Oryzias latipes: one gene and its partners. The main gene of each other region encodes a partner of the protein of the gene in region 3 in a complex. Links are inferred from orthologs where the notes say so. Each region holds a gene or a part of one and is shown on either strand. Other genes may lie near its edges.

Region 1 (2,244 bases), on a different chromosome or scaffold from region 3:
CTGAACAAACGGAAAGAGCGGAGTGAGGCTGAAGAGGAGCAGCCCTTCGGCAGCAAAGAGTCCAGCAGAGTTTGCCCACGGGGGGGCCAACACGGCGGCTCGATTCAAAAGGTTTTCCTGACCCAAAGCGACAGCAAACCCACAACCTCGCAGAAGTGTCAAGGGAAGCGTTCCGACCTTGTTTGCCCAGTGTGTCACCTGACCCAAGAGACGGACGACCTCGCCGTCTTCAATCGCCATGTTGACCTCTGCCTGAACCAGGAGGTCCTGCATGAGCTCAAAGGACAGACGACATTTTCCCAGAATCCATCTGTAGTTAAGAATAGCAAAAACATAGGTAAGAGCCCGTAATTACTTCTATTTCTTTTTGCGTTTTTACATTAATTCAGTTGCTGGTTTGTGGCCAAAATCTCTTTATCCATTCAACTCTGGTTTCAAAAAGAAGTCAATGTTTTTAAAGTGCGTTTTTGTTTACCTGGAAAATGCTCCTATGCGTTCCGGAGCTTCTGTCTGGCCGCTTGGTGGATTGTCAGCGGCCTTATGACCTTGGTTTTTACTGCTATTGACATTGTGTGAGAGGTTTGTATTGATTCAGACTGACAAAAGACATCTCATTTCACCCCATGAAGCCTCCTTGGCCCCTCCACCTTGGAAACGGCTAAATCCCCCTCCCACCTTTTTATTTCCCGACAATAAACTGAAGCCTGGGTTCACCCTTAACAAAGCTGTGCCTAAAAACAGCAGTCTTTATTGTTCTATAGAGGTGCTGCAGCTGTGTTTCCTTCTGTATTTTCAGGGAAAATGTTTTTTTTTGTTAAACTCTGCATCACTGGTGTTTGTTTCTGTTTGTAGCCAGTACAAATCTCCCACCAATGCAAGCAGGCAAAGTCAAAAGCAAAAGGTGAGAAATGTTAATACACGTCTCCTATTATTAGCAATTACGGTAGTAAATTAATTATTTCTGCTTTCTTTTCTCTTAGACGAGGCTCACCCTCCTCTCTTCCCTCTAAAAAGTCGAGGAGCCTCGGCCTTTGCAACACCATCGACAAGTTCCTCAGGTGACACTCAGCCATGCAGAGCGCCACTTCCTGTTTGGGTGAAGTTTAGAGCCAGCCGAATCCTGGACGCACATGGACTCACCAGCTCAAACGAACACATCCATGGGCTGAGGCGAAGCACCTTTTAAACCATACTTAAGCCAAACGTAACATTAAAGACGTGGAGCTCATAACATTTTAAGTAAACAGAATAATATTTATTGATAATGTCACCTTTTAATGCCTCGTTTTTATTTGCTAATTTTATAAAGCCAATGCTGTTTGATGAAAGTAAAATTATTTGGGAAATTAATATTTATCTCTTATATAAACAATAATATATTTTGTTTAATAAAAATGCTAAATTAGTTTTATCATGGATAGACTGCTTTCATAATTTATTTTATAGATATTCTGCATAAACATTCTTGTCTCTTTTTAACTCTGCACCATGTTTCCTCCTCATCTTGATCATGTGGGCTGAATTGTTATCATTTATCTAATTCTGCAATCATTTTGGATAAGTGGTCCAAATATTACTCTTCAAGTAATGCCCCCATAAAAACTAAATTCAATACTTCTGTTTAAAATGGAGTAATTTGTATACATTGTTTTTATAATAAATCATACTTTTTTTAAACTGTTGATATTTTTTCAATTTCTTCAAACTGTGTGGTTGTATGCTGGAGCTCTCACACACAGAAGATACATTTCAAAACACAACCTGAAACTTAATTGTCAATTCAGGACATTTACCAAATTCACTTACCGGTAATCCCCTTTGAGGTCAGAGGGATGCTGGAGCCTATCCCAGACACAGTTGGGCAGAGGCAGGGCACACTCTTGATGAGTTGCCAGTCCAATGCAGGACCACGCAACCTTACACTCACATTCACACCAAGGGAGAATTTAGAGCAGACATGTTCTAAGTCTGGCCCGTGTTCAAATTTCCATAAAATCTTTCATAAAATCAATAAAATGCGGCCCCCCAGCACTTTATAAAAACTGTTTGGATAGTTCTTCATTGTGGTTAGCCAAATTACATTTTCCCATTCATCATGAAGAGGCACTATCAGACGAGACATGCTATCTACGACAAGCTAACTGGGAATAAACGGTGTGAAAACTTTGACAGGGACTTTGGTAAAAATAAAAAATAAAAAACATTTAGATGTATTTGCTGTAAAATAAAAAGTAAAATGTTCAT
Region 2 (2,856 bases), on a different chromosome or scaffold from region 3:
TTACCTGATTTGTGAAAATGTGAAATAGGATGATTTTTATAGCATTTTATGAACCGAGTCCACCTCAGACCAGGTCCTATTGAAAAACCTCTGGACCTAGACTGCTTAAACCTGGATTCAATTTTGATTTAGATAGTAAAAAATACATTAAACAGTTTCTGATTTGTGAAACCTTTACCTGATTTGTGAAAATGTGAAATGGTATCATAAAAGCGTAAAACGTGATAAAAATCATCCTAAATTTAATAAAGGTCATTTTTTTTCTATACTTTTAGAAGATGACAGCGCCGTGACCTTGGAGGAGGTGTTCACGTTAGCTGCAGGTGTGCCACGTGTTCCTCCTGCTGGTATGAGTCCTCTGCTTCACTTCCCATCTTCAACATCAAGATTACTGTTTTAAAAACCAGTAACACCGGGGCTACAAATGACCCTGTCTGTCTCCCAGGTTTGATTTTCAAAAGTGTGTGAATGAACCAAAAGTCCTCCTGTCTGACTGGTCCACAGCACAGGAACCGTTTGTAAAGTTCTCTACTTTCTAATGTGGATTAAAAATAAGAAGACGCATGCTCACACAATATTTTCAGAGTTTATTGATTATCCCGTGTGTTTACAGCAGGAGACAGAAAGGATATAAAAATGGTTTTCCAGGCTTTGTTTTGTTTTTCAAACTGTCCATGTGTGAGCAGTGAGTCCACACCAACAAAACTGACCTCCTCCAGCGGATCTGGGCAAATGTTCTCACTTCTTCTGAAAAAATCCCATAATAGAAGCTTGTTTTCCTCCTTTGTTGGAGTTGGCCGGAGCTTTTTTCTGAATTTTCTTGTCGTCCTCTTTGCTCCCCGGGTTTGGTTTGGCCTTAAACGGCGCCGTCTGAGCCGCTTTGGGGGCTTGGAAATCCTCCTCGGATTCAGAGTACGATTCACTCTCAAAGCCTTTTTCTGTGACTGTAAAAAAAAAGAAAAAATATTCAGTAAAAAAATCTATGGCGTTTAAAAGGTTTAAAACTGTGTTTGTCATTTTTAATGAACCTTAAAATCATTTAGACAATACAAATGAAGAATTTACTTTGAGGACTCATATCTGAGCTTTGGAAAAGAAAACTTTCACCTTTGAACTATGAAGACAATAAAAGATGATGGAAAAAAAATGTGTGTTGAATTTGCAAAGAATTATAAAGTCATATTTCTGAGGAAACTGTGATTATAATAGTAATAATGATTGCTTTTTCATACCCATACACCCATCAGCGTCCAGATATGTGCGAGACTTCAGGACCCGTCTCCTCTTCCTCACCTTCGCCCCAGAGTGACCCTGCAATATAAAGGTTCATTTATATGAACCTAAGCAACTCATCATTTGAATTTTAAACTAAGAAGTCACTCACATTTGACGGCTGAACAGTTTCCGTTTCTTTTTTAGGACTTCTCTCTCTAGTTAGAGTCTCTTGGGGCTGTGGGGAATCCGGAACGACTGTAAATAAAACAGAAACAGAAACAGAGCCCAGGTTTTAGAAAAAAATTAACTAGAAGTTTATACAAGGTGCTATTTTCTTAAAGGACCTAAACATTCAAAGAGCAAATAAATGACACCTGAAATGGATAAACAGACACCAAAATGAAGTTACATTGATCAGCTGAGATCACAACTCGACTGACTGGAGGAGTTTTTCCAGAACAGGTTAAAAAGTCTCAGATTTGAAAGAGTTGAGAAAACCTGTCAGTTTTTAACTTTCACTGAAATTCAAAGGAGTATTTTGGCCATGAAAGACAAAAAAACATACATGAGAATAAACTCATAAAAGTATGAGAAAAGAAGGAATATTCACAAAAATAGGGTTGTAAAATTATGAAGAAAAGAAAAAGGAAAACGGCAGACCTTGGTTGTGTAAGCCTGAATCCACATTACGTGACTAAATGCAGACGTTCATGGTGATGCCATAAGGCTTAAACATTGGTATCTAGGTGCCACAATCCGCTTGGACCTCTGCAAACACTGCCACAGCCAAATCCACTCCTTTTGGGTCAGAATCTTTCAGGGTCCTGGAAATTCTTTTCAATATCCTTCTAATAAAACAATATTGACTGGACTTAACATTTCCTTATTTGTGAAACCAAAAGTGGTAGTACCCACTTACGTAATATTAGCACTTTTCCTCATTATTTCACGATTACTATTGTAAAATTGCACATTTTTCCCATAATTTCACAACTTTATTCTCATAAATGTTATCTCTCCGTTTTAACAATAAACTGAAAAGAGAAAAATGTCAGTTTTCTCTGACAAACTGAGAATCTTCATTTAATTATTCCTCATTTCTCAGCATAAACTGATCAATCAAAAGAGCATTAAAAGACCTTCTTCATCACTGCTGTCTGGTTCTGGTTTCTTAATCCTCCGCCTCTTCTTCTTGTCCATCTTGTCCTCTTCACTGTCTTCGTCTTCCGCTCTCTTGGTTTTGCTGTGGAGGGAATAAGGCAGCACATTCCCATCAAGCAAAAGGAAAAGCTGGAGTGTTTTTTGCAGGTCAGGGGTAAACACACCTTCTGGGGTCTTTTTGGGTCTGCACTGCTGCACCGTCAAACTTTTCACAGGGTTGAGGACTTTTACGCTGCGGCGGCGGCGGCGGCTCAGATGTGGAAGACGTCTGATCTGCTTCCTCCTTCACGGCTTTGACTGATTTTTCTGTCGAAATGAAGAACCTTTAGTCTAAAAATGCCATTTCCTGTGTGAACATGAGCAGCGTTTGGTGAACCTCAACTTGAGGTAAAGACTAAGAAGATTTAAATGCAAGATATGGAATTTTCTGATGTCGACACACTAAACGGAAGCTGGAAATAGGATTTGGTTAGTAATAAA
Region 3 (3,577 bases):
TGGACTGGACAGTGCTGGACGAGGAGGGGAAGCTTGGCGGGGGTGTGGCGAAGACTGCTGCAGAGCAGGTGAATGGCATTTATTTGGTATTCCATCTCTCTTGGTCCACGACTGCTCTACTTGTTCTCTCAATTCTGGGGGAAGAGCTTCCAGCACAGAACGATCCACCTTAGAGTGATATCATTAAAAAAAACACTGAGGGTTAAAAACTTTAAGGGTGCCACCAAACAGCAAGTATTGTCTGAGATGTACCTGGGAAGGCGAGGGAACTTCAATGGTGATGCTGAGACGTGTGCGTGAATGTTTGGGTGTCTTCCTGCAGGTCGGCTGTTCTTTGCTTGTTCCTGGAACCGGCTCAGCAGGAGACGAGATAAGCGAAGAGGTGCTAGCTGATGGAGTGGACTGTTCCTTACAATAATCTGCAACATTCCAGACAAAAATACTTTAGATTTTGCTTGTCTTTCAAAGCAACAATAAAAAGTGTACAAACAAATTAAACTAACTGTTCTTATTGGATCTGATGGTCAACATCTCCTTAATGGAGCATGACCGAGGACCCCGACCGTCCGGTGGAAGATGCCGATTTCCTTCGAGAAGTTGCACCTGAATGCCAATTCCTCTTAAGTCCTGCACCTGCAGCTGCATGGCGTGGAGTAGCTTGATGACTGCGGATGCGATCAGCTGTCCACTGTCAGTGGGCTGAGTGAGCATGACAGTTCTAAAATGAAGTAAATGGATGGGGAAAATAATGAGGAGAAAGTTGTTTCCATGTGTACTCAACAACAGTAGTCCCCAACCAGCAGTGGTACAGAAATTGGGATTATTTCTGTCTTATTTTCAAAAACTATCAGATTCTGTCCGTTTATGACTTACTCTTGACGCATGTCAAGTCCTTCACCTCAGTCAGATGTCTTAAAAACATCTGCTACCTTTTTAAAGGGGCTGCTTCGACGGCTAAATCAAGGACCCAAAGCTAGAAAATCAAATTAAAAAAATAAAACAAATGTTTTTGTAAAGTTTCTTTAGGGGGAAAGGAGCCATTGAAGAAATGGAGAAAAAATTTCCAACTACAACCACACCAGGCATGTAATACTCATTCTTGAATGCGCATGTTTCTGCAAGCATCATATAAAAACACGGACTGCAGTGCTTGTAGCGGGCTCGATTATTTATGAATCCACTGTCTTCTGAAGATAAAAACGTTGATGAGTTATTAAAAAAATACATTAAAAACATTTTTTTTGACAAAAATTGTTCCGACGCAATGCATTGTGGTCCATCAATCTAGTGAACATCGATGCAGACTGGTTTTGCGATTTGGGAATTTTACACTACAAAATGGCGAGCGCACTATATAGAGCAGTGTATAGGGTTAGGGTGGGAATTTGGACATAGCCCGAATCCTGAATTGAATTCTCCGTGTTAAAAGTAGCATTCTATTAAAAAAAATGTAATTTTGTCTTTATAGAATTTTTACAAATCATAAACAACTTCTTCAAATCAACAACTTTGTTTTGTTGGATCTTCATCATCTGTAAAATGTCTCCAGACAGTTTTAAATAGTCTTTTTAAACTAAATTTTACGGAGTAGCGTTTTCATTTGAAAAATACATTTTTCAGAAAGCTTCAAAAACTTAAACGCAAACTTCAGCCCCGTTTGGACCAGTCCATGAAAATACTGTCTGTCATTAAACCAGTTCATGGCCTAAAAATAGTTGGGGACCACCGGTCTACAAAGAAAACTGTGGTATATTTCCTACCTGGCTAAGTTATCACAAATGCCATGACCACCATATTTGGCTGACTCTAGCGGTGCTCCAACCTTGCGAACCATGACTTTGAGCGTCACCCTGCGACCCCGCAGTCCTGCTTCCCGTAAACGTTTTTGCACCTCCATGGATAAATTTGACAGGAAACTCTCTGCCTCTTCAACCTATTGATTTAAAACAAGAGAGACTTTTAGAAAACACAAAGTAAAAAAAAAACAGACTTCAACTGGGGAAAAAGAAAAGTCTCAACCTTTGTAAAGCGAATGTTATAGTTCATCTCGGCGGAAACAGATTTTCTTTCCTTCTCGCAGCGGACGGGACGGTCATCTAAACCCCTACAGAAGCGAAACAGGGTTTGTCCTGTTCGGGGGCCAAACATCCTCTGCAGCTGAGACAAAGACACCTGCTGGAGGTCCCCACAGGTAGTCACACCCAAAGTAGCCAGCTTTTTGCCCATAACATGCCCCACCCCTAAAAAGAAAAAACACAAAAAAGATATTTATTTATTCAAATTGTAACACAAACAGGTGCAGATTGTAAAATAATGTCTGTGGCCAGCAGGGGGTGCTGTGTAACTACCTGGTAATCTGGTCACAGGCAGATCTCTGATAAAATCATCCACCTCTTCAGACTTTAGGAAGTACTGCCCGTTTGGCTTAGCCTTGCGAGTTGCCAACCGAGCCAAAAGTATGTTGGACCCTGAGCATAACAGATTAGTTTTTTTGAATTATACCATATGACCACAGCCAATTATGTCTTATTAAAAACCGCGAGGCAAACATGGCTCACCCATGCCCACTGATGCACTGCATCCAGTTTTCTCCTTGATGTCTGCTCTGATGGCCTGGGCCAAATCATCAGGGCTAATTCCCAATTCAGCAAGCAGGGCAGAGCCATCTATCAATGCTTCATCACAGCTGAGGGCTTCAATGTCACGTGTGTAACTGTGGAGGGCCAAAAAGCAGAATTTAGGGGTTTTTATGTTACACAAACAAAGCAGGGATAGACAGAATTCAGCTCCCTCTCACCTTGCCAGAATCTCATACATGTTAATAGCCACCTCTTTATAGGCTTCAAAATCATAGGGGACGGACTGCAGAGAGGGGCACAGCTGCTTCGCCTTGCCAAAAAACATCCCGTTCCTCACGCCCGCCTGCCTGTGGAGCAAAGATCGTCACACACCCCCGTCCACGCACAGCCATTGAAGTTTGTTATAACGTTTTACCTAGCCTCATAACTGCAGGAAGCTATCTCTGCCATTGAGAGTGCAGCAGAATCCAGATTCACTCCGTTGGCATACGAGTCCGGACTATCTTGGGATGGGGATGTGTGTAAAAGATCCCCTTCTTTCTCTATAAAAGAAAAAACCTCTGTGTTTCATTGCTTAGATAATGTTTTTCCTATCATCATCAGAAAATTCAACACAATACGAGTTGATTTAATCCTATATTTAAAAAAAAATAGCATTAGGAGAACAGTTGACAAAATGTCCCTGTATGTTAGTCAGGCTCAGTTCACCACCACGATGAACCAAAAAAACAAAAAGAAACTGACTTCTGGATTTGAAGCTCATTTGAAAGCAAAAGGAACTGGAGACAGTTCATCAAGTGACCACTAGAGGAATGTTTTTCCAATGTAAAATATTTCTAGACTTGGAACATTTTTTGGTTCAAATTTAGAAACAACAGATATAAAAATGTAATACAAAAAGTTAACATTTTTATTCCATTTAGCTTTGAAGGCAAACTTATTCACAGAGTGTTTTATTTTGATTGCTTGATGGCCATCATTCACCATCCGTCCATCTT

What was found. Proteins that work in one complex are often made in the same cells at the same time.
Region 1: the proteins of rev1 (region 3) and polk are in contact, whole or in part, in an NMR structure (PDB 2LSI), measured with the Homo sapiens proteins. The link is inferred for Oryzias latipes from reciprocal best matches to the Homo sapiens genes REV1 and POLK. Residues at the interface, in NP_057400.1 of Homo sapiens: Asn1158, Leu1159, Ala1160, Gly1161, Ala1162, Asp1167, Leu1171, Leu1172, Glu1174, Trp1175, Thr1178, Ile1179, Met1183, Glu1185, Asp1186, Gln1189, Val1190; in NP_001374042.1 of Homo sapiens: Lys564, Lys565, Ser566, Phe567, Phe568, Asp569, Lys571, Arg572, Arg575.
Region 2: the proteins of rev1 (region 3) and pold3 are in contact, whole or in part, in an NMR structure (PDB 2N1G), measured with the Homo sapiens proteins. The link is inferred for Oryzias latipes from reciprocal best matches to the Homo sapiens genes REV1 and POLD3. Residues at the interface, in NP_057400.1 of Homo sapiens: Asn1158, Leu1159, Ala1160, Gly1161, Leu1171, Leu1172, Glu1174, Trp1175, Ile1179, Met1183, Glu1184, Glu1185, Asp1186, Gln1189, Val1190; in NP_006582.1 of Homo sapiens: Gly232, Asn233, Met234, Met235, Ser236, Asn237, Phe238, Phe239, Gly240, Ala242, Ala243, Met244.

What each region holds. Positions count from the first base shown.
Region 1 is NC_019867.2:13,993,203-13,995,446, forward strand, and holds the end of polk (DNA polymerase kappa), read left to right. Parts: coding exon 1-337; intron 338-852; coding exon 853-901; intron 902-980; coding exon 981-1,062; 3' UTR 1,063-1,677; downstream 1,678-2,244. UniProt on the Homo sapiens protein: DNA polymerase specifically involved in DNA repair. Plays an important role in translesion synthesis, where the normal high-fidelity DNA polymerases cannot proceed and DNA synthesis stalls.
Region 2 is NC_019875.2:1,858,966-1,861,821, forward strand, and holds the end of pold3 (DNA polymerase delta subunit 3), read right to left. Parts: intron 2,683-2,856; coding exon 2,541-2,682; intron 2,459-2,540; coding exon 2,355-2,458; intron 1,471-2,354; coding exon 1,385-1,470; intron 1,312-1,384; coding exon 1,233-1,311; intron 945-1,232; coding exon 739-944; 3' UTR 568-738; downstream 1-567. UniProt on the Homo sapiens protein: Accessory component of both the DNA polymerase delta complex and the DNA polymerase zeta complex.
Region 3 is NC_019879.2:9,999,021-10,002,597, reverse strand, and holds part of rev1 (DNA repair protein REV1), read right to left. Parts: intron 3,122-3,577; coding exon 2,995-3,121; intron 2,927-2,994; coding exon 2,798-2,926; intron 2,714-2,797; coding exon 2,559-2,713; intron 2,469-2,558; coding exon 2,349-2,468; intron 2,241-2,348; coding exon 2,020-2,240; intron 1,934-2,019; coding exon 1,761-1,933; intron 719-1,760; coding exon 504-718; intron 420-503; coding exon 253-419; intron 169-252; coding exon 1-168. UniProt on the Homo sapiens protein: Deoxycytidyl transferase involved in DNA repair. Transfers a dCMP residue from dCTP to the 3'-end of a DNA primer in a template-dependent reaction.